4 linked regions of the Anolis sagrei genome follow. The protein of the gene in region 1 interacts with the protein of each later gene in a pairwise test. Links are inferred from orthologs where the notes say so. Each region holds a gene or a part of one and is shown in the gene's direction. Other genes may lie near its edges. The genes, in order: RINT1, FAM110A, SGF29 and AIRIM.

Region 1 (6,984 bases):
AGAATATATGAATACGCAACTACTTAAAGACCATAACCAACTGGCTACCACTGAAAATTTACCTGCAAGAGAAGATGAAATTATAAAAATTCGGAAAAAGAATGGGGAAAAAAAGAAAAGAAAAAAACCCCGAAATAACAAAAATAGCGGACTATCCACAAAAATATTATTTGGGAAATATTATCTCTCTGTGGCATGGACTGGAAGTCCCTTAACCCCCCTATTTTTCTCTATTCACCCCACTCCTTCCCTACTTCCCCTCCCCCGTTCCATCCCCTTCCCACTCTAGTCCAACCCCTCACTAGTAACCCTCCTCTCTATCTAATTTCCTACTTTCTTTCACTCCGGTTTTGTTCCCCTGCTTTCACTGTTATTATGAAAAGATGGCAAATAAAAATGATAAAATCAGAAATCACTATTAATAGGCTTTGTGTTCCAGCTAAACACCAACCTTTATCTCTGTAAAATGATCACATTGCACACATTCATAAATGACACAGGTACACGTTTCTGTCTTTATGGAAAGCTCACATGCCACAATACAGGATTTTTGAGGCATCTTGTTCTGTATGTATAAAAGGAAAGCTTCCAAGACTTAAACAAGGGATATCCTTTATAAGAGGCATCAAGTAAGAGACATCTGGACATCAAGTAAGAGACATCCCATAGGGACACCAGGCAAATGAATATGCTATTGAAGCCAATGGGACGACTTCACTATTGTGTGTTTTGTTTGCCAGGGGAGTTGTTTTTGCATATGTGCTGTAGCATCTTTTTGATTTTTTAGCTTTTTAAGACCCTCCGCTGTGTTTTTCAGTGTTTTTATTAGTGATGGTCACTTGTTGGCCTGATAGGTGTATTGTGTCCAAATTTTGTGTCAATTCGTCCAGTGTTTTTTGAGTTATGTTAATCCCACAAGCTAACATTAGATTTTTATTTATATAGAAGATGTGGAAGGGGCCAAAAATAATCCAAATCAGATAGTGTGGATTTTCTGCTTTGATAAAGTGGATTGTCTGGCAGTGTAGAATGGGTTTGAGCCTGCCACTTTTGGACTCTCGCTTGCTGAGGTGTTCCAGCGAGTGTCTCTGTAGATCTAAGAAAACTATGTCTTGATTTAAGTCAACGTGCTGGCTGATACCCAAACGGGGGATGAGCTGAAGGGGTCTCTGCCTTGGTCCTTTCACTATTGGCTGCTACTTCCCGGCGGATGTCAGGTGGTGCAATAAGCAGTGTAATGTCTCCAGTGGTGTAGGGCGCAGACACCCCGTGATAATGCGGCATGTCTCATTAAGAGCCACATCCACTGTTTTAGTATGGTGAGATGTGTTCCACACTGGGCATGCATACTCAGCAGCAGAGTAGCATAGTGTAAGGGCAGATGTCTTCACTGTGTCTGGTTGTGATCCCCAGGTTGTGCCAGTCAGCTTTTGTATGATATTGTTTCTGTTGTTGTTGTTCATTCGTTCAGTCGTCTCCGACTCTTCATGATCTCATGGACCAGCCCACGCCAGAGCTCCCTGTCGGCCGTTACCACCCCCAGCTCCCTCAAGGTCAGTCCAGTCACTTCAAGGATGCCATCCATCCATCTTGCCCTTGGTCGGCCCCTCTTCCTTTTGCCTTCCACTTTCCCCAGCATAATTGTCTTCTCTAGGCTTTCCTGTCTCCTCATGATGTGGCCAAAGTACTTCAACTTTGTCTCTAGTATCTTTCCCTCCAGTGAGCAGTCGGGCTTTATTTCCTGGAGGATGGACTGGTTGGATCTTCTCGCAATCCAAGGCACTCTCAGAACTTTCCTCCAACACCACAGTTCAAAAGCATCGATCTTCCTTCGCTCAGCCTTCCCTAAGGTCCAGCTCTCACATCCGTAGGTTACTACAGGGAATACCATGGCTTTGACTAGGCGGATCTTTGTTGCCAGTCTGATGTCTCTACTCTTTACTATTTTATCGAGATTGGACATTGCTCTCCTCCCAAGAAGTAAGCGTCTTCTGATTTCCTGGCTACAGTCTGCATCTGCAGTAATCTTTGCACCTAGAAATACAAAGTCTGTCACGGCCTCCACGGTTTCTCCCTCTATTTTCCAGTTGTCAATCATTCTTGTTGCCATAATCTTGGTTTTTTTGACGTTTAGCTGCAACCCGGCTTTTGCGCTTTCTTCTTTCGCCTTGATGAGAAGGCTCCTCAGCTCCTCCTCGCTTTCGGCCATCAGAGTGGTGTCATCTGCATATCTGAGATATTGTTTCTAGCACCCACTTTTTGCTTGATGTTCAGGCAGTGCTTCTTGTAGGTCAGAGCACGGTCCAGAGTGACTCCAAGGTATTTGGGTGTGCTGCAATGCTCCAGTGGGATTCCTTCCCAGGTGATCCTCAGAGCTCGGGATGCTTGTTTCAAAGCAGATAATGTAGATTTTATACAGAAAGGACCTCGAAGAGGTGTGAGGATTCGTGACCTAAGCCAAGCCTTATTCCTACTTGAACAGGCCCAGTCCTGTTCAACATCTTTATTAATGACTTAGATGAAGGGTTAAAAGGCATGATCATCAAATTTGCAGACGACACCAAATTGGGAGGGATAGCCATTGCCAATACTCCAGAGGACAGGAGCAGGATTCAAAACTATCTTGACAGATTAGAGCGATGGGCCAAAACTAACTAAATGAAGTTCAACAGTGACAAATGCAAAATACTCCACTTTGGCAGGAAAAACGAAATGCAAAGATACAGAATGGGGGACAATAATGCCTGGCTCGAGAGCAGTACGTGTGAAAAAGATCTTGGAGTCCTCGTGGATAACAAGTTAAACATGAGCCAATAATGTGATGTGGCGGCAAAAAAAGCCAATGGGATTTTGGCCTGCATCAATAGGAGCATAGTGTCTAGATCTAGGGAAGTAATGCTACCCTTCTATTCCGCTTTGGTTAGACCACACCAGGAATATTGTGTCCAATTCTGGGCACCACAATTCAAGAGAGATATTGACAAGCTGGAATGTGTCCAGAGGAGGGCGACTAAAATGATCAAGGGTCTGGAGAACAAGCCCTATGAGGAGTGGCTTAAGGAGCTGGGCATGTTTAGCCTGAAGAAGAGAAGGCTGAGAGGAGATATGATAGCCATGTATAAATATGTGAGAGGAAGCCACAGGGAGGAGGGAGCAAGCTTGTTTTCTGCTTCCCTGGAGACTAGGATGAGAAACAATGGCTTCAAACTACAAGGACATGAGGAAGAACTTCCTGACTGTGAGCCATTCAGCAGTGGAACTCTCTGCCCCGGAGTGTGGTGGAGGCTCCTTCTTTGGAAGCTTTTAAACAGAGGCTGGATGGCCATCTGTCAGGGATGATTTGAGTGCAATATTCCTGCTTCTTGGCAGGGGGTTGGACTGGATGGCCCATGAGATCTCTTCCAACTCTTTGATTCTATGATAACCCACTTCAAAGCAGATTTTGTGGGATTTTCTGCCCTGGCATTCTGGGTCCACACTGCCATACAATCCAGTTCAAATCAGATAATGTAGAATTTATACAGAAGGGACCTCGAAGGGGTGTGAGTATTCCTGACCTAAGCCAAGCCTTATGAAATTGCCACAACACACAACTTGGAGGCACATGTAACTTGCTAGCCAACCACAAGTTCGCTATGCTGGGTTTCCTCCCACTTACCTCGCCCCCTTTTGTAATGTTATGGACTGTCGTCACTTCCGCCGCAGGAGGAAAATGGCTCCGAAACCCAAGCCGGAAGTTGAGTGCTGGCTGTTCCACCCTCCCTCGGCCAGGCAGGGACGCAGCTGCGGTGGCCACGTGACCCTTGGAGCGAGGGGACGGGCCTGTTCGAGCACGCGCCCCTCTCCGCTCTCGCGTTGCTGCTCGCTTAGAAGGAGGGCGGGCTGCCGGGTTTGGCAGAGTTTGCTGCTGACGCGTCGCTGTTAGGGGCGGGGCAAGCGAAGGGGCGTGGCTTAAACCTGGAGGCCGGTGAGTGGGTAGGTGGACGCCTCGCGCGCGCCTCGTTCTCCTCAAAATTGGGGGGGGGGGGGGAGTGGTTGCTAAGGGATTACTCCATGGGGGGGGGTTGTTACCTGGCAACGGCCAAACTTGGGAGGAAATATGGCCACTCCGCCTCAGGACTGTCCTGCTTTCAGTTGCTCTCAACCAGGGCTGAGTTGCATTCTTCCATTTAGGATTACACCTCCCTTGACTAATTTCTTCTATTCCAAAGGAGCCCTTGGACTGTATTTAAGCCCCCTTGCCCATAACATTGGCAGGCAACTGGTTCTTTGGCCTGCTTGTAGAGGAATTGCTTTCCCCACGCCATTTATTATGAAACTAGCCGTCCCCTGCCACGCGTTGCTGTGGCTCAGTCTGGTGATCTGGAAAATAAAGTAATGAGAAAATGTTGGCTTCTAATCTATGTAATTTCTTGATGCTTGTGAGTAAACAGTATTTATTGCTGTTTCTTTGTCAATGTAGATGTGAAGATTGTCTGGTTTGCCTATTCTGGAATATGCAACATATAATTGTGCTTCTTTAGGGGTCCCTTTCAAATCTATGATACTATATCTCTCTTTGTATCAATCTTATATATCTATCTATATCTGTAGCTGGATGGCTCTTTGTCAGGAGGGTTTTGATTACATTTTCTTGCTCTGGTGAAGGGAGTTGGACTGGATGGCCTTAAGTATTTTCTGCCCCAATTCTGTCGTTGGTGGGGTTTATTTTTTTAAAAAATTTGTATTCCGCTCTTCTCAGCCCTTAGGCGACTCAGAGCGGTTCACAACAATTTACGTATACACAATACAAAATCATTAAGTATTTAAAAGCAATAGCTCCACAAATCATTAAACATCATTAAACATCAATATCAATACATCACTACATCAATATAACAAATCCATCAGGTCTCATCAATGAAATCAGAATCCAAACTCGTTATCCGATATTCCGTGTTCCGATAGTCAGTCAATCAATCACACTATTTAGTCGAATGCCTGTTCAAACAGCCAGGTCTTTACTTTCCTCCGGAATGCCAGCAAGGAGGGGGTCGATTTAATATCTGCAGGAAGGGCGTTCCACAGCCGAGGGGCCACCACTGAGAAGGCTCTGTCTCTCGTCCCCGCCAGGCGTGCTTGTGAAGCCGGCGGGATCGAGAGCAGGGCCTCCCCAGACGATCTTAATGTCCTAACTGGTTCAAAGGAGGAGACGCGTTCGGACAGGTAGGTCGGGCCAGAACCGTTTAGGGTTTTAAAGGCTAAAGCCAGCACTTTGAATTCTTCCCGGTAGCAAATTGGCAGCCAGTGGAGCTGGCGCAGCAGTGGAGTGGTATGCTCCCTGAGTGCCGCTCCTGTTAGCATCCTGGCTGCCGATCGTAGGACCATTTGAAGCTTCCGAGCAGTCTTCAAAGGCAACCCCACGTAGAAAGCGTTGCAGTAGTCTAAATGGGATGTGACTAGAGCATGGACTACCGTGGCCAAGTCAGGCTTCCCAAGGTGCGGGCGCAGCTGGCGCACTAGTTTTAACTGTGCAAATGCTCCCCTGGTCACTGCTGAAGCCTGAATCCAAGATCCAAGATCACACCCAAGCTGCGAACCTGCGTCTTCAGGGGGAGTGCGACCCCGTCCAACACAGGCTGTAACCCTATACCCTGTTCGGCCTTGCGACTGACCAGGAGTACCTCTGTCTTGTCTGGATTCAATTTCAATTTGTTCGCCCTCATCCAGACCATCGCAGCAGCCAAGCACCGGTTCAGAACCTGAACAGCCTCCTTAGTAGTAGATGGAAAGGAGTGACAGAGTTGGACATCATCTGCGTACAGATGACATCGTATCCCGAAACTCCGGGTTCAGAATGTTCTTTGATTGTAGGTGAACTATAAATCCCAGTAACTGCAACTTCCAAATGTCAAAGTCTAATTCCCCCAAACTCTATCTGTGTTCATATTTGGGCATATGGAATATTTGTGCCAAATTTGGTCCAGATCCATCATTGTTTTGAGTCCACAATGCTATCTGGATGTAGGTGAACTACAACTCCCAAACTCAAGGTCAATGCCCACCAAACCCTTCTAGTGTTTTCTGTTGGTCAGGGGAGTTCTGTGTGCCACATTTGGTTCAAGTCCATCATTGGTGGAGTTCTGAATTCTCTTTGATTGTAGGTGAACTATAAATCCCAGCAACTACAACTCCCAAATGACAAAAACAGTTTTTTTGAGTGATGGTTATTTATTTACCGTGTCAGCTCAACCAGTCGATTATATTACATTTCTAACAGAACAAAGCAAACAAACAGACAGAATACAAAATTTGTGAGTTTTGTAGTTGATTAAATGTCCTTTGACCAGTAGCTGGCCACTTGGAGTGCCTCTGGTGTTGCTGCAAGAAGGTCCTCCACTGTGATGAGTGATGGGCACTCATTAGGTTAGTAGGAGTTTTGTGGCCAAATTTAGCAGCAATTCGTCCAGTGGTTTTTGAGTTATGTTAATCCCACAAACTACCATTACATTTTTATTTATATAGACTAGCCATCCCCTGCCATGCGTTGCTGTGGCCCAGTCTGTGTGTATGTGCTTTGTGTGTGTATATTTGTGTATATGTGTATATATGTGGTTTTGACCCTGTTTCAATTTTCTGGCATTGCTTTCAAGATAAAATCCTATATACATATGGTTGTGCCCAACTTTTAATTAATCAAATTGTAAATAATCTTTCATTGCAGAATATTTAATCGTGTTCTTTGGAGATGGCGCAACCATTGGTTGAAAGTGAAGAACCTTTGTTCTCTGAAGAGGTATGTGGATTTATTTGCCATTTTCTAGGCATATTTCTAATAATTGTATTCTCTTTATCTGTTTTTCACTAGTTAATTATGTCCTAAGCTTGCTAATTAAAGTGAAATATGCCTTGCATACATTTTACCATCTTACTGTTGAATTAATCGAGGTCACCTTTATTTATTTATTTACGACATTTATATGCCGCCCTTCTCACCCGGAAGGG
Region 2 (7,950 bases), on another chromosome or scaffold:
TCAAAGAGCAAAGGAAGGAAGGAAAGAGGTAGAGAAGGAAGGAAGGAGAGAAGGAAAAAGGAACAGAAAAAAGGAAGGAAGGAAAGAGGAAGCGAAAGAAGGAGAGAAAGGAGGAGAGAAAGACGGAGGGAAGGAAAGAAAGTAAAAGAGGAGGAAGGAAAGAGGTAGAGAAGGAAGGAAGGAAGGAAGGAAGGAAGGAAGGAAGGAAGGAAGGAAGGAAGAGGGAGGGAAAAAAAGAAGGAAAGAGAGAAGGAAGCATGGAAGCGAAGAGCAAAGGAAGGAAGGAAAGAGGTAGAGAAGGAAGAAAGGAGAGAAAGAAAAAGGAACAGAAAAGGGAGAAGGAAGGAAAGAGGTAGAGAAGGAAGGAAGGAGAGAAGGAAAGAAAAAAGGAAGGAAGGAAGGAAAGAGGAAGCGAAGGAAGGTGAGAAAGGAGGAGAGAAAGATGGAAGGAAGGAAAGAAAGTAAGAGAGAAGGAAGGATGGAAGCAAAAAGCAAAGGAAGGAAAGAGGTAGAGAAAGAAGAAAGGAGAGAAAGAGGAAGGAAAAGAAAAAGGGGGAAGGAAGGAGAGAAAGAAAGAAGAAAAGGGAAGGAAAGAGAGAGTGAAGGAAGGAGAGAAAGAAGGAGAGAAAGAGGGAGGGAAGGTTGACCACAGCAATGCGTGGCAGGTACAGCTAGTCTGAAAATAAGCAGCAACAAATACAAACCTATTTTGATAATTAAACCTGTGTTACTTTAAGTTAAGTTTGTCTTTGTCTTGATGTACTTTCAGTGACTGTATTGCACTATTAATATCAAGTCAATACAGAGTTCATGGCATGGTACAATATGGGGTATGGTATTTGTTACACCTATTTTTAATAGCAACTCCCAAGCAACCAGAAACTACATGTATCCAGCACCTATCATTCCCCATGGTTGCCTGTTAACTGAGAGTCTATGTACATCTGAAAAGAATGGTCCAAAACAGCATCATAATGGCACTACTTGGAAACAGCATCAATAGCCAACAATAGGGTCATGGATAGTATTTGTATCACTGATGGTCCATCATTCAATCCATCTGTGTATATTATATGTGCCTTCATGATGCCTGTATTTATGGCAATTCCATGAATCTCAGAGGGTTTTCTTAGGGAAGGAATATTCAGATATGGTTCTGCCAATTCCTTCTTCTGAAATATAGAACCTGATATTCATTGGCAGTCTCCCATCCAAGCACTAACCAGAGGTGACCCTACTGAGCCTCCAAAACCAGACAGGATTTGGAGTATTGTAGGATACTTAGCATTTAATAAAAGTGATAGCCCAACCCCACCTTGCTGCTGTCAATATCTGTGTATTGATTTCCAGATGCATTTGAAGTCAAAATGCGCAAGAGACAAGAGTCTAGCAACCCAAACACCCCTGCTGCCTAGCAAATTAGGAGGCGGTGTTTTGATTTTCAGATATACTGGGAAAACATACATTTCTAAGTCGAGTCTGGTTGCAAAATATGGGACAACCCCAGCCCACCACACTTCCTGATGTCTTGGAAGGGGGAACTGATTTCTAGAAAGATAGGCACAGTGAGAAAGATAACTATAAAGCTACATGCAGTTTGCAAATCGTCTGGAAAGGGTCTGCTAATTGGTTTTCAGGTACGTTGGAAAGAGACAAATCCCTGGAGACAAGGAGTTGGCACCTTGAAAGTCAGCGACGCACTAAGAGTGCATCTATACCAGGTATGTGCAAACTTTGGCCCTCCAGGTGTTTTGGACTTCAACTCCCACAATTCCTAACAGCCTACCGGCTGTTAGGAATTGTGGGAGTTGGAGTCCAAAACACCTGGAGGGCCAGAGTTTGCCCATGCCTGATCTATACAGTTGAATGAATGCAGTTCAACACCATTTGAGCTGCCATGTCCAAATGCTATGGAATCATGAGATTTGTAGCTCAGCACCAACAGAGAAGAGAAGGCTGCAGACCTTGTAAAACTACAACTCCCATTGAGCTATGGCACTTCAGGTGGTGTCTAATTGCCTTTATTCTACAGTATAGATCAGTGTTTCTCAACCTTCCTAATGACACGACCCCTTAATACAGTTCCTCATGTTGTGGTGACCCCCATCCATAAAATTATTTTTGTTGCTAATTCATAACTGTAATTTTGCTCCTGCTATGAATCATCATGTAAATATCTGATATGCAGGGTGCATTTTCATTCATTAGACCAAATTTGGCACAAATACCCAATACATCCAAATTTGAATACTGGTGGGCTTGTGAGGTTGGGGGGAGAATTGATTTTGTCATTTGGGAGTTGTAGTTGCTGGGATTTATAGTTCACCTACAATCAAAGGGCATATTGAACTCCACCAGTGATGGAATTGAACCAAACATGGCACACAGGACTCCCACGACCAACAGAAAATACTGGAAGGGTTTGGTGGGCATTGACCTTGAGTTTTGGAATTGTGGTTCACCTGTACCCAGAGAGCACTGTGGACTCAAACAATGATGGATCTGGACCAAACTTGGCATGAATACTCAATTTGCCCAAATGTGAAAACTGGTGGAATTTGTGGAAAATAGACTTGACATTTGGGCGTTGTAGTTGTTGGGATTTATAGTTCACCTACAATCAAAGAGCATTTCGGTTTTGATTATGCTTTCTTGCCCTGGTGAAGGGAGTTGGACTGGATGGCCTTAAGACAGCATTTCTCAACCTGGGGGTTGCGAGGGGATGTCAGAGGGGTCACCAGGTACCACCAGAAACACTGTTGGTCATGGGGGTTCTGTGTGGGAGGTTTGGCTCAATTCTATCGTTGGTGGGGTTCAGAATGCTCTGTGATTGTAGTTGAACTATAAATCCCAGCCACTACAACTTCCAAATGTCAAGGTCTATTTTCCCCAAACTCCATCTGTGTTCATATTTGGGCATATAGAATATTTGTGCCAAGTTTGGTCCAGATCCATCATTTTTTGAGTCCACGGTGCTCTCTGGATGTAGGTGAACTATAACTCCCAAACTCAAGGTCAATGCCCACGAAACGAGGGGATGAGGAGCAGGGCCTTCTCGGTGGTGGCCCCTCACCTATGGAATTCACTCCCTGGGGAAATTAGATCATCGTCATCCCTCCTTTCCTTTAGAAGGAAATAAAAAACATGGATTTGGGACCAGGCGTTTGGGCAATCTGCCAGATAAATAAAGGACAACGACGACTGATAGGAATGGAAAATGTGGAATGAAGTTATGGACTCTGAGTTGCGAACGTTGAGCATAAGATTGTTTTTTTATTGACTGTGATATATATTGATTGTTTTTAACTGTTAAAACTGTTTTAATTGCTGTCTATTTTTTATCTGTATTACTGTGTAGGCCTCGAATTTTGCCTTTTTGTAAGCCGCCCTTAGTCCCCCCTTGGGGGTTGAGAAGGGCGCGGTAGAAGTACACGAAATAAATAAAATAAATAAACCCTTCTAGTGTTTTCTGTTGTTCGTCATGGGAGTCCTGTGTTCCACATTTGGTTCAATTCCATCATTGTTGGAGTTCAGAATGCTCTTTGATTGTAGGTGAACTATAAATCCCAGCAACTACAACTCCCAAATGACAAAATCAATTTTTTTTGAGTGAAGGACATACATTGGATTGTTAGGTGTCTTGTGTCCAAATTTGGTGTCAATTCATCCAGCCGTTTCTGAGTTATGTTAATCCCACAAATGAACATTACATTTTTATTTATATAGATTGCTAGCCTTAAGGAGAGGCAGGTAGTGAGTAAAATTATTATTGTTATCATCATCATTAGCATTTCCATGAACATTGCTAGCATTGCGGAGAGAGAAATGCTGAAAACCAATGGGGAAGGAGATATATTTTTGTTTTAACAAAAACCACTGGATGAAAACTAACAAAATGAAGTTCAACAGTTCAACAAGTGACCCCTTGCCACTTTGGCAGGAAAAACGAAATGCAAAGATACAGAATGGGGGAGCAGTACATGTGAAAAAGATCTTGGAGTCCTTGTGGACAACAAGTTAAACATGAGCCAACAATGTCATGTGGCGGCAAAAAAAGCCAATGGGATTTCGTCCTGCATCAAGAGGAGCATACTGTCTAGATCTCGGGAAGTAATGCTACCCATGCTCTATTCCGCTTTGGTGAGACCACACCTGGAATATTGTGTCCAATTCTGGGCACCACAACTGAAGAGAGATACTGACAAGCTGGAATGTGTCCAGAGGAGGGCGACTAAAATGATCAAAGGTCTGGAGAACAAGCCCTATGAGGAGCGGCTTAAGGAGCTGGGCATGTTCAGCCTGAAGAAGAGAAGGCTGAGAGGAGATATGATAGCCATGTATCAATATGTGAGAGGAAGCCACAGGGAGGAGGGAGCAAGCTTGTTTTCTGCTTCCCTGGAGACTAGGACGCAATGGAAGAATGGCTTCAAACTACAAGAGAGGAGATTCCATCTGAACATGAGGAAGACCTTCCTGACTGTGAGAGCCGTTCAGCAGTGGAACTCTCTGCCCCGGAGTGTGGTGGAGGCTGCTTCTTTGGAAGCTTTTAAGCAGAGGCTGGATGGCCATCTGTCAGGGGTGATTTGAATGCAATATTCCTGCTTCTTGGCAGAATGGGGTTGGACTGGATGGCCCATGAGGTCTCTTCCAACTCTGTGATTCTATGATTCTATGCTGCACCCAGCCTTAAGGAGAGTATGGCAAGGAATCAAACCTGTTGTTGTTATCCTTGCAAGGACTGCTGGGAATCATTGGCAGGCTTTCTGCAGGGAGGCAGGGCAGTGCCTTCCTTGGGCAAGCCCTCTTTCCCTCCCTCTCTCTTCCCAAATGCTGCTGCCTTCTTCTCTGCTGCTGGGCGAACCCCCTTCAGGAAGGGAAATTCCCCAGGTGAGTGTCAACAGGAAGTTGTGCAAGGCGCTCACCTGGGCGCTCAGGTCACCTGGGAAGGTTTAACTCGGCGCAGGCAGAACGAGAAGCAGCTGCTTCAGAGAAGAGACGAAAGGAGGAAAGGAGCTCCTGTTTTCTCTCTCAAGAAGGTAAGAAAGCTCCCTTTCTTTTCCTCCATTGCTGCCCACGTTGCAGATTGTCCTGCCAACTGAGGAGCCATGCCAGGCAGGCAGAGATGCAACAGGTAGAGTTGCATCTACCTGCCCTCTCTTTTGAACTCCCAGGATCATTTTTTCTTACTAGCTCAAAACTCCGATTCCCATTTTCCCCCTTTCCCCAGCTATCAGGTCTCCAAGAGCTGCATGACAGGTAGAAATCCAACAGGTAGGGTGCCTGCTTTCTCTTTTCAACTCCCAGAGCATTTTTCTTAGTTGTGCATGGCTTCTATTCCTCTTTCTCTCCTTTCTTTGGCTATCAAGTCTCCAAGAACTACCTGGCAGGTAGAAACTTAATAGGTAGAGTGATTGACCTCTCCCTCTTTTAGACACCTAAGTCACTTTTTTCTTAGTGGCAGAAGGCTCCCATTTCCTTTCCCCCTACTTTCCGGATTATCATATGTGGCAGGCAGAAATCCAACAGGTAGACTGACAACCCTCTCTCTTTTAGATACCCAGGTCTTTCTTCTATTCCCTTCTATTCCCATTTTCCCATGCTATCAAGACCCCAAGATTTGTGTTGCAGGTAGAAATCCAACAGGTAGGGTGCCTGCTTTCTTATTTCAACTCCCGGATGATTTTTCTTAGTAGTGCATGGCTTCTATTCCCCTTTCTCTGGCTATCAGGTCCCCAAGAGCTGCCTGGCAGGTAGAAACCCAACAGGTAGAGAACTTGACCTCTCTCTCTTTTAGACACCTAGGTCACTTTTTTCGTAGCAGCAGAAGGCTCTCATCCCTTTCCCCCACCATTTTCCGGATTATCATGTATGGCAGGCAGAACTCCAACAGGTAGGGTGGCAACCCTCTCTCTTTTAGACACCTAGGTCTGTCTTCTTAGTTGTGCAAGACTTCTATTCCCATTTTCCCATGCTATCAAGACCCCAAGATTTGTGTTGCAGGTAGAAATACAACAGGTAAAGTGCCTACTTTCTTTTTCAACTCTCAGAACATTTTTCTTAGTAATGCATGACTTCTATTCCCCCTTCCCTGGCTATCAAGCCCCAAAGACCTGCCTGGCAGGTAGAAACCCAACAGGTAGAGTGCTTCACTTCTCCCTCATTTAGACGCCAAAGTCACTTTTTTCTTAGGAGCAGAAGACTCCCATTTCCCCAACTTTCCAGATTATCATGTCTCCAAGAGCTGTGTGGCAGGCAGAAATCCAACAGGTAGGGTGGCAACCCTCTCTCCTTTAGACACCTAGGTGTGTCTTCTTAGTAATGCAAGACTTCTATTCCCACTTTCCCTCGCTATCAAGACTCCAAGATTTGTGCTGCAGGTAGAAATCCAACAGGTAGAGTGCTTGCCCTGTATCTATTTTCAAAGATGTCCTAGGTCATTGGTTCTCATAGAAAGCTGGAAGAAAATACAAGTTTTTGGACACTTTCAAAACTTATTGGCTTATTTTCACCTATGCTTGTCTCTGAAAAAAGGGCAAAAGCTTTGATTTAAGGTTAGCTTTTAAGGTGCCACGAAAGTCCCCATACAATAATAATAACAATAATAATAATAATAATAGAATACAGAAATAATAATAAAATCCCCTTTTCCTTCCCTTTTTGTCCCATACCCAGTAGAGAAGGGCAGAGAACTGTATGGCCTTCGGAAATATAGGGACCGGAACCCAAAGTATTCCTCACAACTGGCTCTGCTGGTCAGGGATGATGGGAATTGTTGTCCAAGGACATCTGGAAAGCTCCAAGATTCCTTCTCATGATAGATGGAGGGCCAACAGAAAAATGTAACTTTTCTTTTGACGAGAACACAGGATCGTTGGATTGAGTTAGGAATAATCGCTCAAGACTTAAGGGATCATGGGTTGCTGTGAGTTTTCTGGGCTGTTTGGCCATGTCCGAGAAGCATTCCCTCCTGACGTTTCACCCACATCTATGGCAGGCATCCTCAGAGATTGTGAGGTCTGTTGGAATCTAGGCAAGTGAGGTTTATATATCTGTGGAAGAATGTCAAGGGTGGGAGAAAGAACTCTTTGTCTGCTTGAGGCAAGTGTGAATGCTGCAATTGATCACCTCGATTAGTATTGAATAGCCTTGCAGCTTTAAGGCTTGCCTGCTTCCTCTCTGGGGGAATCCTTTGTTGGGAGGTGATTAGCTGGCCCTGATTGTCTGGAATTTCCCTGTATTTGAGTGTTGTTCCTTATTTACTGTCCCGATATTAGAGTTTTTAAATACTAGTAGCCAGATTGTGTTGATTTTCATGGTCTCCTTCAAAGAGTTGGAAGAGACCTCATGGGCCATCCAGTCCAACCCCATTCTGCCAAGAAGCAGGGATATTGTATTCAAATCACCCCTGACAGATGGTCATCCAGCCTCTGTTCAAAAGCTTCCAAAGAAGGAGCCTCCACCACTCTCCGGGGCAGAGAGTTCCACTGCTGAACAGCTCTCACAGTCAGGAAGTTCTTCCTCATGTTCAGATGGAATCTCCTCTCTTGTAGTTTGAAGCCATTGTTCCATTGCGTCCGAGTCTCCAAGGAAGCAGAAAACAAGTTGCTCCCTCCTCCCTGTGGCTTCCTCTCACATATTTATACATGGCTATCATGTCTCCTCTCAGTCTTCTCTTCTTCAGGCTAAACATGCCAGGCTCCTTAAGCCGCTCCTCATAGGGCTTGTTCTCCAGACCCTTGATCATTTTAGTCGCTCTCCTCTGGACACATTCCAGCTTGTCAATATCTCTCTTGAATTGTGGGGCCCAGAATTGGACACAATATTCCAGGTGTGGTCTAGATGGCTGGGAGGACAACAGATGGAGAATATACACTTCCCAGAATAGGGCCTGGATTATCATATGTGAAAAAGAAACTGCATTTTTCCCCTGGGTTATATTGACTGCGTGCC
Region 3 (8,126 bases), on another chromosome or scaffold:
GAGCCTGGAACCCCAGGTTTTGGCGGTGACCAGGGGAGCATTTGCACAGCTAAAGCTTGTGCGCCAGCTGCGCCCGTACCTTGGGAAGTCTGACTTGGTCACGGTAGTCCACGCTCTGGTTACATCCCGTTTAGACTACTGCAACGCTCTCTATGTGGGGTTGCCTTTGAAGACAGCTCGGAAGCTCCAACTAGTCCAACGCTCGGCAGCCATGATTTTAACAGGAGCGGAGCGCAGGGAGCATACAACCCCCCTGTTGCGCCAACTCCACTGGCTACCGATCTGCTACCGGGCTGAATTCAAAGTGCTGGCGTTGGCCTTTAAAGCCCTAAACGGTTCTGGCCCAAGCTACCTATCTGACCGCATCTCTGCCTATGAACCCACCAGGACTTTGAGATCTTCCGGGGAGACCCTGCTCTCGATCCCGCCTGCTTCTCAAGCTCGGCTGGCGGGGACGAGAGATAGGGCCTTCTCGGTGGTGGCTCCTCGGCTGTGGAACACCCTTCCTATGGACATTAGACTAGCACCATCTCTAATGGTATTCCGCAAAAAGGTGAAGACCTGGATGTTTGTGCAGGCGTTTGAGTAATTTAGTGCAATCTGGTAATGGAATATAGGAATGGAACAATGGACGACGAACCTGGACTACGCTTGGATGATGAGAAGATTGGGTACGGTTGTTTTTCGTAATAATTGTGCATTGTAATTGCTTATTGGTAATTTATGGATAATGTGTTAAGTCAATTGTTATATGTTGTATGGAACCACTGCTGTTTCTACTGTTTTTACTGTTTGTGAACCGCTGTGAGTCGCCTTCAGGCTTGTGATACAGCGGTATATAAGCAAAGTAAATAAATCTATATATATAAATCTGTTAGGTTGGTTCAACCGGACAGGTAAACTCTAAACCCCCCCAACGAAACTGCACCAAAATTGCCATGGCCCTAGGACAACCCACTCGGTACAAACTAATCCACTCACAATTACAAACAACACAACAACACACTCACAAAGTGGCAAAACAACTGAGCATGCGCACTGCCGCAAAGTCCCCAGCGCGCGCGCACACATGGCCGAACGGCCGAACGGCACTTCCCTCCCTCCCTCGCCCAGCACGAACACGTCGCCGCCACAAACACACACACACGCATCGCAACTTCCTCCCACCCCTTCCGGCCCTGAAACACTCCTTCCCTCCTCCAACGCAGCTCTGGTAAAACACACCCCCTCCCTTCCCCGCAACACAACCAAACGCCGGTAACAACCCCTCCCCCCGCTAACTCACCACACCTCCCTTCCCCGCAACACACAAACACACACGCCGCTAACGCACACCTCCTCCCTTCCCCGCAACACAACCAAACGCCGGTAACAAACCCCCCTGCCTTCTACACAAACACACACGCCGCTAACTCACCACCCCTCCCTTCCCTACAACACACAAACACACACGCCCCTAACACACACCCCCTCCCTTCCCCGCAACACAACCAAACGGCGGTAACAAACCCCCCTGCCTTCCCTGCAACACACAAACACACACGCCGCTAACACACACACCATCCCTTCCCCGCAACACAACCAAACGCCGGTAACAAACCCCCCTGCCTTCCACACAAACACACACGCCGCTAACTCACCACCCCTCCCTTCCCTGCAACACACAAACACACACGCCGCTAACGCACACCCCCTCCCTTCTCCGCAACACAACCAAACGCCGGTAACAAACCCCCCTGCCTTCCACACAAACACACACGCCGCTAACTCACCACCCCTCCCTTCTCCTTCTTACCTCCTCCTTCTTCTTCCCCAATCTCACCTCCTCCCCCTCCTTCTTCCTCCCCTCCCCTCTAGGCGAGAGAGGCTTCGTGCAAAGCTAGGCCCCGCACAAAGCCTCTGTTGCCTAAGCCGCGCCCCTGCCGCCCGCTTCCTTCTTGCCTTTTTGGACGACTCCGGCCAGAGGGAGGGACGACGGAAGAACAGCAAAAGAGGCGAGTGCTGGGAAGGGAAGGGAAGGGAAAGGCGGGGGGGGGGGAGAGGAAGGGGAGGCTCCACAACACAACACAACGTCTCACAACAGAAGGAGTGACCATCACTCAAACAATTATGATTTTGTCATTTGCGAGATGTAGTTCCTGGGATTTACAGTTCACCTACAATCAAAGAGCATTCTGGACTCCACCAATGATGGAAATGAACCAAACTTGGCACACAGAACTCCCATGACCAACAGAAAGCACTGGAAAAGATTGGAGGGCATTGACCTTGAGTTTGGGAGTTGTAGTTCACCTACATCCAGACAGCACTGTGGACTCAAACAATGATGGATCCGGACCAAACTTAGCATAAGCATTCAATACGCCCAAATATGAACACAGATGAAGTTTGGGGAAAATAGACCTTGACATTTGGGAGTTGTAGTCACTGGAATTCACAGTTCACCAACACTCAAAGAGCATCGTGAACCCCACCAATGACAGAATTAGGGCAAACATGCCACACTGAACCCCTATGGCCAACTATGGCCAAAATACTCAAGTTTACACACAAGCATAAAGAAGGGGGAGGAAGGAGGGATGCCAGAGACAGAAAGAGAGAGGAAAAGAGGGGAAAGGAAGGAGTGTGAGAGAGAGAGAAAGAGGGAAAGAGAGAGAGAAAGAGGGGAAAGGAAGGAGTGTGAGAGAGAGAGAAAGAGGGAAAGAGAGAGAGAAAGAGGGGAAAGGAAGGAGTGTGAGAGAGAGAAAGAGGGAAAGAGAGAGAGAAAGAGGGGAAAGGAAGGAGTGTGAGAGAGAGAAAGAGGGAAAGAGAGAGAGAAAGAGGGGAAAGGAAGGAGTGTGAGAGAGAAAGAGGGAAAGAGAGAGACAAAGAGGGGAAAGGAAGGAGTGAGAGAGAGAGAAAGAGGGAAAGAGAGAGAAAGAGGGGAAAGGAAGGAGTGAGAGAGAGAGAAAGAGGGAGAGAGAGAGAGAAAGAGGGGAAAGGAAGGAGTGTGAGAGAGAGAAAGGGGGAAAGAGAGAAAGAGGGGAAAGGAAGGAGTGTGTGTGTGAGAGAGAGGGAAAGAGAGCGAGGGAAGGAAGGAAGAGAGGCCAGGCAGAGAATTCAAAACTCTTACTAAAGGCCACAGCAACGCGTGGCAGGGCACAGCTAGTAAATAAATAAATAAATAAAAGCTCTGTGCCGGCAGGACTGAAGACCGACAGGTCATAGGTTCGAATCCAGGGAGAGGCGGATGAGCTCCCTCTATCAGCTCCAGCTCCTCATGCGGGGACATGAGAGAAGCCTCCCACAAGGATGATAAAAACATCAAATAATTCGGGCGTCCCCTGGGCAATGTCCTTGCAGACGGCCAATTCTCTCACAACAGGAGCGACTTGTAGTTTCTCAGGTCGCTCCTGACACGACAAATAAATAAAACCAGCTCAGGAGTCGTGAAGGACTTTCTGAGCCATGAGAGTTGCTGGTTTTATGAAACAGTGGCTTTTTCCTTCATATTTTCATATAAACATACATCCATACACATAGGGGATGGGGAAATGGGGCAGGGTCTAAGTGAAAGTCACGTCAGCCCCTCAAAGTCCATTAAAGTCCATAAAGTTTGGCAAGAGTTTATAAAAGTTCCTATAAAGTTCATGGGAAGTCCATTAGTTGGGCCATAGGGCCATAGAAAAAGCCTTAGGTTCCCACATGGGGGAGATAGAGGATTATGAGAGGATTCCAGCCTGGTGTCCTTGGCAAAACTATGAATTCCCTGATTTTGAACCATATTTTACAGAGTCCGAGGGGATGGGGGGAGTTACTTTCGATCTCAATGCCTGATAAAGAGTTATCAGTCCCAACCAAGACAACCACTCAAATCAATTGGAACTTGATGAACTGCAACTCCCATTGGCCCTACCCAGAAGAATCACCCATAATTCCCACCATTGGTTTAACAACAAGTTGCCTTGTCCTTTCAGTTTTCAGAGGCCTTACCTCAGCGAAAGCTGCACAATCTTATCTCGAATCAATAGCGCTGGTTCACCTTGTACTCAATAGATGAACAATTATTAACTAACTAAACGTTAGTTAGTTAATAGGCAACACTTAGCCTATAGGGCGGAGTCAACACTTAGCGGCGAAAAACAACTGGGTTTCAGCCAGAGTTGGAAAGAAGCAGGGGCTTGAAGAACCGTTGTACCTAGCTTAGCATCCGCACATCTACACTGTAGATCAGTTTGTCACCACTTGAAAAGCCATGGCTCAATGCTATGGGATCGGGAGAGTTGTAGTTTTACATGGTTTTGGGCCTTCTCTGCCACAGCCATTCAACTGCAATGCACCTTCAAGCAGTGCAGATGAGGCTTCACTTGAAGCTTAGGCCTCTTTGGTTCTTTGTTTGGACTTCATGACATTTGGCCAAACTGGCTGCTTCCCTGGAGACTAGGACGCGGAACAATGGCTTCAAACTACAAGAGAGGAGATTCCATCTGAACATGAGGAAGAACTTCCTGACTGTGAGAGCTGTTCAGCAGTGGAACTCTCTGCCCCGGAGTGTGGTGGAGGCTCCTTCTTTGGAGGCTTTTAAACAGAGGCTGGATGGCCAACTGTCAGGGGTGATTTGAATGCAATATTCCTGCTTCTTGGCAGGGGGTTGGACTGGATGGCCCATGAGGTCTCTTCCAACTCTTTGATTCTATGATTCTATGGCTGAGACTTCTGGGACTTGTAGTTCAAAAGAGCATTGACTTATAAGCTGTTTTTATAATAAACATGCTTAAAATTGCATTGTCCATCAGTCCCAATATTTTTTTTAAAATATTGGATTTCCAAAAATAATTCTGTGCCTTGAAGTTGCCTGTTGATTTAGGGCTCTCATGTAGTAACTAATGCGCATGCGCGTCAGGAAGGCTGCTATAGCATTGGTACAAAGTCGGCTCGGCATTGGAATGCGAGAAGACAGCGAAACGAACGTTGCCGAGAATATTACGCATGCGCACTAGAACTCATCTGTCCTCCAGTCAGAAAAAAAAAAACTTCAGTTGCGCGCGCCGCCCAAAGGCAGGTTCCAAACTGCGCATGCGTGGTACTCCTTCCTGCGGATTTAGCGCCATTTTCAGTCGTACCCGCATTTTTTTTAATTTTTATATTTTTTTTGTTTTGTGTTTTCTCGCACCCGCATTCCTACGTCGTCCTGCTGCTACCGATCTAAGTCCCAAACGGTAGGGAGCGGGGGAGGGCGCTGCTACAAAGAAGGGTGCTGAGGGCGAAACCAATATGTGGCTTTGCGCATGCGCGCTCGCTCTTGCGCTTGGGAGCCAGGAAAACGTGGCTTTTGGTTTTGCGCATGCGCAACCACTTGTTCAGCTGCAGCCAGAGTATAACCCTATTGTTTTACTTTGTAATAAGGAATTGTGAGAGTCCAAAGGCTATTACAGAATTTGAGGAAACATGTGCTGCCATATTGAGCAAAGCTTCTTCTCCAAGCATATTACTTTAACAAAGATCTATTTTTAGGGTAGAAAGTAGCAATATTAATAAACCTACACATTGAAGACATTATATTCCTTTTGTTATTGGAAGCTAAATAGGACCAGGCCTGGTTAGTACTTGAATGGGAAGCCAAGTACAGAGAACACCAGGTGATGATAATAATACTATTATTGTGTCTTAGGCTACTTTCCCCAAGACTAAAGGTGGGACACAACCTAGAATTATGTGTTGTTGTTCATTCGTTCAGTCGTCTCAGACTCTTCGTGACCTCATGGACCAGCCCACGCCAGAGCTCCCTGTCGGACGTCACCACCCCCAGCTCCTTCAAGGTCAGTCCAGTCACTTCAAGGATGCCATCCATCCATCTTGCCCTTGGTCGGCCCCGCTTCCTTTTACCTTCCACTTTCCCCAGCATCATTGTCTTCTCCAGGCTTTGCTGTCTCCTCATGATGTGGCCAAAGTCTCTAGTATCCTTCCCTCCAATGAGCAGTCGGGTTTTATTTCCTGGAGGATGGACTGGTTGGATCTTCTCGCAGTCCAAGGCACTCTCAGAACTTTCCTCCAGCACCACAGCTCAAAAGCATCGATCTTCGCTCAGCCTTCCCTAAGGTCCAGCTCTCACATCCGTAGGTTACTACAGGGAATACCATGGCTTTGACTAGGCGGATCTTTGTTGCCAGTCTGATGTCTCTACTCTTTACTATTTTATTGAGACTGGACATTCCTCCTTCTGATTTCCTGGCCACAGTCTGCATCTGCAGTAATCTTTGCGCCTAGAAATACAAAGTCTGTCACGGCCTCCACATTTTCTCCCTTTATTTTCCAGTTGTCAGTCATTCTTGTTGCCATAATCTTGGTTTTTTTTTATGTTTAGCTGCAACCCGGCTTTTGCACTTTCTTCTTTCACCTTGATTAGAAGGCTCCTCAGCTCCTCCTCGCTTTCGGCCATCAGAGTGGTGTCATCTGCATATCTGAGGTTGTTAATGTTTCTTCCAGCAATTTTCACCCCAGCTTTGAATTATGTAACTAAACATATTTAAAACGCATAGATTAGAAATAAATATTGGATTAAAGCAGACATATAGGCTATATCCAATATGTGTGATGACACCCAAATATATTTCTCCATGCCTTCAAAGACATCTTCATCTGAGGATAGTATGTCTCCTCTAAACGAATACCCGGAGCAGGTAATAGGCTGGATGTGGATAAACAAATTGAAACTGAATTCAAACAAAACAGGTGCTTGCCACCAAGGGTCCTCATCTGAGGATGGAGGTGTGTCAACCAGTTCTGGATGGGGTTGCACTCCCCCTGAAAGACTTGTGTTTGCAGCTTACTCCTGGAACCATCTCTCCAAATGTCAACCCACGTAGATGTGACAGGAGTGCTTACTATCAGCTTTGACTGATATGCCAGCTGCACCCCTTCCTAGCTTTGGAGGACATAAAGATAGTAGTGCATGCACTGGTAACCTCAAGGTTGGACTTTTGCAATGCACTTGACATTGGGCTACCCTTGTACCAAGTTCGGAAACTCCCAACTCGTTCAAAATACAGCAGCAAGATTGGTTACAGCAGTGGTTCTCAGCCTGTGGGTCCCCAGATGTTTTGACCTTCAACTCCCAGAAATCCTGACAGCTGGTAGACTGGCTGGGATTTCTGGGAGTTGTAGACTAAAACACCTGGGGACAAACAGGTTGAGAACCACTGGGTTACAGGAACATTCAGGAGTAAGCATATCACACCTATCCTAAAGTCACTCCACTGGCTGCCAGTTATTTTCTGAGCTAATTACAAGGTGATAGTTTTGACCTTTAAAGGCCAAGTTACCTAAAGGATCGCCTTCTCCCATACAATCTGCCCCACACACTTCAGTCTTCTGAGGGGCATCTGCTCTAACCAGGCAGAACCTGACTGGCAACCACCACCCAGAGGACCATTTAGTCAGCCTCCCCCAGGCTGTGGAACAACCTGCTGGTAGAGCTCCGACACCTAAATCAGCTGATGGAATTTCAAAACCATGTAAAGATTTATCTCTTCGGGCAGGTCTACCCAGACAGTCTTTCAACATGAATTTTAAATGTCCTTTGTTCCATCTCTGTTTTGTGTGTCATAATATGCAGTTTTTAGAGATACGTTTTGGTGTGTAACTTTTATGGAAGTATGTTTTAGTGTGAATATTTGTAGAGTTTTGCTGTGTTTATATCGTTTAATTGTTTTGTAACCTACCTTGAGCCCTGAGGAGAGGTGGGTAAGAAATAAAATTACTATACACAACAATATTAGTACACAGCAATCAAGATCACTATACTGGCTTCCAAAATGTCTAGGACTGTGTGATGTATTGGCGAATAATGCATGCAGATCCGGGCAGCTGACAGGTGGTAATTTTGTCAGCGCCAATTGTTTTTAAGTGCAGGCCAAGGTCTTTAGGTACTGCACCCAGTGGGCCAATCACCAAATAATAATAATAATAATAATTATTATTATTATTATTATTATTATTATTATTATTAAATCCAGAGGAAGGCAAAGGCAAACCAAGACATCTGAAAAGCAGCGAAAAAGTGGGAGGAAGGGATTATTCAAGACTAAAAGCTGGAAACTTTTATACTTTCCAGCTTTTAGTCTTGCTTAATCCACGCCCCCCCCCCC
Region 4 (7,401 bases), on another chromosome or scaffold:
AGCATTAATCCTGGAGTAAATGGGGAGCTGCTCCACGATGGTGGGGCTTCCCTCTTAACGGGCATCCTATGGCCTTTGAACTTGTGAAGCCTCTGTGGAAACCCAAAGACATGGGGCAGCATTGGGACCAATCTCAGTAAACAGAAACTTTCTGCAGACTGCTGCGTGTGCTACTGCTGGCTCCGTCCTTCCTTTTACAGAGAGGGGGTGGGGAGGGTGGACATTGCTGCAAATGTGTCTGTTGAAGACCTGTATGTGGAAGGAGGCCTGTGCAAGAGAAAGGGGCCAGGAAAGTAACAGGCGGGAGGGTTGTGTACAAGGTTGAGAATTCAAAACAATCTAACAGAATAGAGATGGGCCCAACCTAACAAAATGAAGTTCAGCAGGGACAAATGCAAGATAATCCACTTAGGCAGAACAACTGAAATGCCATGATACAGAATGGGAGATGCCTGATTCTACAGCAGTACATGTAAACAAGATCTTGGAGTCCTCATGGGGAGGAAGGTGAACATGAGCTAACAATGTGATGCGGCGGCAAAGAAACCCAATTGAATTTTGGCCTTCATAAATAGGTGTATACTATCTAGATCCAGGGAAGTCATGCTACCCAACTATTCTGCCTTGGTCAGATCACACCTGGAATCACACTGTGTCAAATTCTGGACACTGTAATTGAAGGGAGATGTCTGGAAAACAAGCCCTATGAGGAGTGGCTTAAAGAGCTGAGCTTGTTTAGCCTGCAGAACACAAGGCTGAGAGGAGACATGATGAAGGGCATGTATAAACATGTGAAGGGAAGTCATAGGAGGGACCAGGCTTGTTTTCTGCTGCCCTGGAAACTAGGACATGGAACAATGGCTTCAAACTACAGGAAAGGAGACTCCACCTGAACATTAGGAAGAACTTCCTAATGGAGAGAGCTGTTCAGTGGAACTCTGCCCTGGAGTGTGATGGAGGCTCCTTCATTGGAGGCTTTGAAACAGGCTGGATGGCCATCTGTCAGGGGGGCTTTAAATGCAATTTTCCTGCTTCTTGGCAGGGAGTTGGACTGGATGGTCCATGAGGTTTCTTCCATGATTCTAGGTGATGAGCACTAGGGTCCCTGAGCCCCCCCTCCCCAGGAGGGAGAGACAGACAGAAAGAAAGAAAGAAAAGAAAAGAAAAGAAAAGAAAAGAAAAGAAAAGAAAAGAAGGGCTGGCCAGGAGTTACTGGTGCCAGGCTCTTGCCCTCTGCCTGGGCCTTGCTGCCAAAGGCCTGTCTTGTTTGGCGTGTTAAGCTCAATCTATGAGTGATGGGAGTTCTCTAAATATCCTAGTGATCTGTTAGTACCGGATTCGAACAGAAATCACAGGCAAGGACGGCAGAAGTTTCTTTCCACATTCAAGAAGTCTTTTATCTTCCAACAATGCATACATGCAAAGCTTTGTATAAAACCAAGTCCTCTCACTTTCTCCCCTCAGCAATCTTCACAGCAGTTCTCTCACGTAGATCTCTCTTATTTTGGAAAACCAGAATCTCCCTGGTTTTCCAACCATTTTAAAAATAACCTTTTGTAAAATTATGATCTTCCAGAGAAGAACAAAAAAATGTATCATTTGAGTAAAATCTTCTCTTGTGTGGGATATAACCACATGTACTTATGCAAAGCATTTTGGTTGTTAGGCTGATAACCTGGTTTTCTTTTATCTGTTAGGAACAGAAGCAACGCCAATGCGTAAAATATAGCCATTCTTCAGAAGTATTTTTTTCAGTGCCTAAAAACATCTACTCTCCCATAAAACATCTTGTTTCGATATCATTCTCTGAAGAGACAAAAATAAAGTGGACTTTGTTAAAAGTAACATTTGGTTTACTCACAACCTTCATGTATTCAGTATATAGGTACATAACTTGTCAAGTTATAGATAGGTTTGAAGTAGTTACTCTGTGCAGATAACACAGGGCATCTTTCTTACAATCAACAACATGAGTTGTCTCTTAACAGTCCAAAGTCAAGCAGGTAAGAGGTAGTCTTAACAGTCTGAGAGTGTAATGGAGTCTGAGGTCTGAGCAGTCTCAGAACTGATCATGTGGTCCCACAACCTCAAGAAACAGAGTAAAGGGAAAGCTGCATACCAAAACATACATATACAACACAGTAAGCAAATGGAAACCTATACAAACAAATTACTAGTGGAGGCTTGAAGGTTATTTCCAACGTCTTTGTAACATTCAGCAACACCAGCATAAACACTCATCCACAGTCATCATGCTAGCTGCCCCACTGTTATCCTAGATCTGGCCAATCACATATTGTATTGCATCATACATGGTGTCCCAACAGTGCACCGTGGTTGCACCAGACATTAGGCATTGCACACTGGTTTCATCATCCTCGGAAACTTGTCATTCTGACTCTGCAGTTAGCTCCTGAGGGTTTTGTGTGTGTGTGTTTGTGTGTGTGTCAGGAGTGAATAGAGAAACTGCAAGTCGCTTCTGGTGTGAGAGAATTGGCCGTCTGCAAGGTCATTGCCCAGGGGATGTCCGAATGTTTGATGCTTTACCATCCTTGTGGAAGGCTTCTCTCATGTCCCGCATGGGGAGCTGGAGCTGACAGAGGGAGCCCAACCTGCTCTCCCCAGATTCGAACCTCTGACCTATTGGTCAGCAGTCCTGCCAGTACAAGGGTTTAACCCATTGCGTCACCTGAGCTCTTTCTTTCTGAGTATGATGACATAGGGTTGCTGTGAGCTTTCCAGGCTGTATGGCCATGTTCCAGATGCATTCTCTCCTAACGTTTCACCCACATCTACGGCAGACATCCTCAGAGGTCATGATGTCAGTTGGAAACTAGACAAGCGAGATTTATAGATCTGTGGAATGCCCAGGGTGGGAGAAAGAACTCTTGTCTGCTTGAGGCAAGTGTGAATTTTATTGCCATTGGCCACCTTGATTAGCATTGAATGGCCTTGCAGCTTCAAAGCCTGGCTGGTTGCTGCCTGGGGATCCTTTGTTGGGAGGTGTTAGCTGGCCCTGATTGATTCTTATCTGGAATTCCTCTGTTTTTTTGAGTGTTGCTCTTCATTTACTGTCCTGATTTTAGAGTTTTTTAAATACTGGTAGCCAGACTTTGTTTATTTTCATGGTTTCCTCCTTTCTGTTGAAATTGTCCACATGCTTGTGAATTTCAACTCAAAATACATATTAATTTTATTTATTTATTTGCGACATTTATATGCCACCCTTCTCACCCCGAAGGGGACTCAGAGCGGCTTACACATTATTTGTACATATAATATATTATATTATTAGCATAGCACATTATTAGTATTATGTATTTCCATATTGTACTATACAACTACATTTATTTATTTATTTCTCGCACTTCTACCCCGCCCTTCTCAACCCCCGAGGGGGGACTCAGGGCGGCTTACAAAAAGGCACAATTCGATGCCGGCACAACAACAAGGTAAAAAATAAAACATAAACAGTAATTAAAACAATTAAAACAATCCATTATACATCACAATCCCTAAAAACAATCTAGTGCTCAACGTTTACCAGCTCATAGTCCATAAATTCAAATTCCACATTGTCCAATCCAGCAATTCTAGTTGTTGCTTGCCCCTTATCTATCCGCCAGATAACCCGAAGGCCTGGTCCCAAATCCATGTTTTTAATTTCCTTCTAAAGACGAGGAGGGATGTCAATGACCTAATTTTTCCGGGGAGTGAGTTTCACAGGTGAGGGGCCACCACCGAGAAGGCCCTGCTCCTCATCCCCACCAATTTCTCTTGTGATAGAGGTGGGGCCGAGAGCAGCACCTCCCCAGAAGATCTTAAACTCCGAGGCGGGACGTAGAAGGAGAGGCGTTCGGACAGATACGCTGGGCCGGAACCATATAGGGTTTTGTAGGTCAAAACCAGCACTTTGAATTGTGCTCGGAATTGGATCAACATTGTAATATCATTAGTAATATTACATGTTATATATATATATGTAATTATTAAATTTAATTATTAGTATTATATTATATTATAATATTATCAATATTATATGTGTATACAATATATTAGCACAGCACAATATCAGTATTATATATTACTATATTGTACTATACCACTATACTGTAAAATTATTAGTAATATTACTTGTAATATAAATATATAATTATTATATTGCATTATTATTAGTATTATGTTGCATTACATTATAATATTATCAATATTATATGTGTATAATATACTTTATTTTCATTTCAAATCCTGACCTGTCTTCCCAGTGGGACTCTGCAGGTGCCCAGCTTGGCCCAGGTAAGGGCAGGGGATGCTTAGAAGTGCACTATCTGGCTTCCTCAGGCCTGCCTTTCCATTGGACTTGAAGGCTCTTTCCACAAATGGGACAACGCTGACATTCCCACTTGTCTTCTCACATTTGCAGCCTAGGATGCTCCATGAAATGGGATTGGCTGATTTTTATTTTTTTGCAAAGGTGTTCAAATCTGGTTCAGGAAGCTGCAGGGAGAGACAAGAGAATACAGCTTTCCTGCCCTTTGCCTGAATGGAAGAACAATGTTGGATCCAAGCTTTTGAAGTTCAAGCAATGTGGATTCTTTATGAGCCTGGCCACAGAGAGAAGGGAGTCCCCGCCTGCAGATGCCTGTGACGTCACTCCAGGGCAAGCCACGCCCATCGGAGGAGGCGGGAGGGCGGTGGGACTCCATTTCCCGTCAGGCCCCGGGGCGGCTAGAGGAAGGGAAGAAGGCGGAAGGCAGGTGAGTTAGTCAAGGGAGCCTATCTAGGCACATTATTTGCTTTGAAATTGATTATAAGGCAATGTAGCCCAGGTATGGGTAAACTTGGGCCCTCCAGGTGTTTTGGACTCCAACTCCCACCATTCCCAACAGCCTCAGGCCCCTTACTTTTCCCTCTCAGTTCTTCAAATGTTTTGGACTCCAACTCCCACCATTCCCAACAGCCTCAGGCCCCTTCCTTTCCCCCCTCAGCTCTTCAAGTGTTTTGGACTCCAACTCCCACCATTCCCAACAGCCTCAGGCCCCTTACTTTTCCCTCTCAGTTCTTCAAATGTTTTGGACTCCAACTCCCACCATTCCCAACAGCCTCAGGCCCCTTCCTTTCCCCCCTCAGCTCTTCAAGTGTTTTGGACTCCAACTCCCACCATTCCCAACAGCCTCAGGCCCCTTACTTTTCCCTCTCAGTTCTTCAAATGTTTTGGACTCCAACTCCCACCATTCCCAACAGCCTCAGGCCCCTTCGTTTCCCCCCTCAGCTCTTCAAGTGTTTTGGACTCCAACTCCCACCATTCCCAACAGCCTCAGGCCCCTTACTTTCTCCTCTCAGCTCTTCAAGTGTTTTGGACTCCAACTCCCACCATTCCCAACAGCCTCAGGCCCCTTCCTTTCCCCCCTCAGCTCTTCAAGTGTTTTGGACTCCAACTCCCACCATTCCCAACAGCCTCAGGCCCATTACTTTCCCCTCTCAGCTCTTCAAGTGTTTTGGACTCCAACTCCCACCATTCCCAACAGCCTCAGGCTCCTTCCTTTCCCCCCTCAGCTCTTCAAGTGTTTTGGGCTCCAACTCCCACCATTCCCAACAGCCTCAGGCCCCTTACTTTCCCCTCTCAGCTCTTCAAGTGTTTTGGACTCCAACTCCCACCATTCCCAACAGCCTCAGGCCCCTTACTTTCCCCTCTCAGCTCTTCAAGTGTTTTGGACTCCAACTCCCACCATTCCCAACAGCCTCAGGCCCCTTCCTTTCCCCCCTCAGCTCTTCAAGTGTTTTGGACTCCAACTCCCACCATTCCCAACAGCCTCAGGCCCCTTACTTTCCCCTCTCAGCTCTTCAAGTGTTTTGGACTCCAACTCCCACCATTCCCAACAGCCTCAGGCCCCTTCCTTTCCCCCCTCAGCTCTTCAAGTGTTTTGGACTTCAACTCCCACCATTCCTAACAGCCTCAGGTTCTTTCCTTAAGTGGCTGGGGGGGAAAGGGGCCTGAGGCTGTTAGGAATGGTGGGAGTTGGAGTCCAAAACACCAAGGGCCCAAGTTTACCCATACCTGGTCTACACTGCCTTATAATCCAATTTAAAGCAAATAATTGGATTTTATATGGCAGTGTAGAAGGGGCCTCTGCTGTACTTTTCCAATAAAGATGTAATAAAAATTGAAATATTGTCTATTTCTGCTTCAAAAGTGGTATTTCCTGTTTCATTATGCGATCATTATTTTCAAAGGAGTTCTACTCCAGAAACATCATTTTTGTGGCTGCCAGGACTTTAAGATCGTCCGGGGAGGCCCTGCTCTCCATCCCGCCTGCGTCACAAACACGTTTGGTGGGGACGAGAGACAGGGCCTTCTCAGTGGTGGCCCCTCGGCTATAGAACGCCCTTCTTGGGACATTAGATCGGCCCCCTCTCTCTTAACATTTTGGAAAAGTGTCCAGACTTGGTTGTTTGAGCAAGCATTTGAAAATGCAAGGTAAAAGACATAAGAATTAGAATGACTGGACGACGAGATTGGACAGTGATTTTATTAGGAGACGCAAATGATCTATGTTTTTAATACTCTTGTTATAGTTTTATATTATGTGTTAATGTTTTTAAATGTTTTATGGTGTTTTGTGCATTGAATTGTTGCCACTGTAAACCTCCCTGAGTTGCCTGAGGGTTGAGAAGGGCGGTATACGAATACAGCAAATAAATAAATAAATAGGTTGAAATTGGTTGAGACTCTTATGATGAGATAGTCACTGAAAAACTGAAAATTGTGTTACATAGTGTCCTAATTTGGTTTACAGTAGAGTCTCGCTTATCCAGTCTTCGCTTATCCAACATTCTGTATTATCCAACGCAGTCTGCCTCCCGCCCGGAATAATGTCCAGGGTGGGAGAAAAAAAGAACCCTTGTCTGTTTGGGTACTAAATTTGTAAATACAGTAATTACTGCATAATGTTACTCTGTATTGAACTGCTTTTTCTGTTGATTTGTTGTAAAACATGATGTTTTGGTGCATCATTTGTAAAATCATAATGTAATTTGACATTTAATAGACTTTTCCTTAATCCCTCCTTATTATCCAACATTTTCGCTTATCCAACGTTTTGCCAGCCCATTTATGTTGGATAAGCAAGACTCTACTGTATTATCTGTCTCTCCTTTTAATCCAAGGCGGGGCACAACACAGGCAGATCTATCAAATCCCATATTGAAACATAGTTAAAATGCAGCTACAAAAGCATATATTAAAACATAAAAGGTAAAGGTTTCCCCTTGACATTAAATCTAGTCGAGTCCAACTCTGGAGCATGGTGCTTATCTTCATTTCTAAGCCGAAGAGCTGGCGTTGTCTGTAGACATCTCCTAGGTCATGTGGCCAGCATGACGGCATGGAGTGCCGTTACC

Evidence for each region.
Region 2: the proteins of RINT1 (region 1) and FAM110A interact in binary tests that used the Homo sapiens proteins (3 or more experiments, as listed by UniProt). The two-hybrid records come from large-scale screens. The link is inferred for Anolis sagrei from reciprocal best matches to the Homo sapiens genes RINT1 and FAM110A.
Region 3: the proteins of RINT1 (region 1) and SGF29 interact in binary tests that used the Homo sapiens proteins (3 or more experiments, as listed by UniProt). The two-hybrid records come from large-scale screens. The link is inferred for Anolis sagrei from reciprocal best matches to the Homo sapiens genes RINT1 and SGF29.
Region 4: the proteins of RINT1 (region 1) and AIRIM interact in binary tests that used the Homo sapiens proteins (3 or more experiments, as listed by UniProt). The two-hybrid records come from large-scale screens. The link is inferred for Anolis sagrei from reciprocal best matches to the Homo sapiens genes RINT1 and AIRIM.

What each region holds. Positions count from the first base shown.
Region 1 is NC_090025.1:83,924,542-83,931,525, reverse strand, and holds the start of RINT1 (RAD50-interacting protein 1), read left to right. Parts: upstream 1-3,851; 5' UTR 3,852-3,967; exon of another isoform or gene 3,968-3,975; intron 3,976-6,703; 5' UTR 6,704-6,727; coding exon 6,728-6,775; intron 6,776-6,984. UniProt on the Homo sapiens protein: Involved in regulation of membrane traffic between the Golgi and the endoplasmic reticulum (ER); the function is proposed to depend on its association in the NRZ complex which is believed to play a role in SNARE assembly at the ER.
Region 2 is NC_090024.1:240,806,557-240,814,506, forward strand, and holds the start of FAM110A (protein FAM110A), read left to right. Parts: upstream 1-4,878; 5' UTR 4,879-5,036; intron 5,037-7,950.
Region 3 is NC_090026.1:23,382,093-23,390,218, forward strand, and holds the start of SGF29 (SAGA-associated factor 29), read left to right. Parts: upstream 1-5,017; 5' UTR 5,018-5,055; coding exon 5,056-5,198; intron 5,199-6,343; coding exon 6,344-6,445; intron 6,446-8,126. UniProt on the Homo sapiens protein: Chromatin reader component of some histone acetyltransferase (HAT) SAGA-type complexes like the TFTC-HAT, ATAC or STAGA complexes.
Region 4 is NC_090034.1:86,340,223-86,347,623, reverse strand, and holds the start of AIRIM (AFG2-interacting ribosome maturation factor), read left to right. Parts: upstream 1-4,341; 5' UTR 4,342-4,638; coding exon 4,639-4,757; intron 4,758-7,401. UniProt on the Homo sapiens protein: Part of the 55LCC heterohexameric ATPase complex which is chromatin-associated and promotes replisome proteostasis to maintain replication fork progression and genome stability.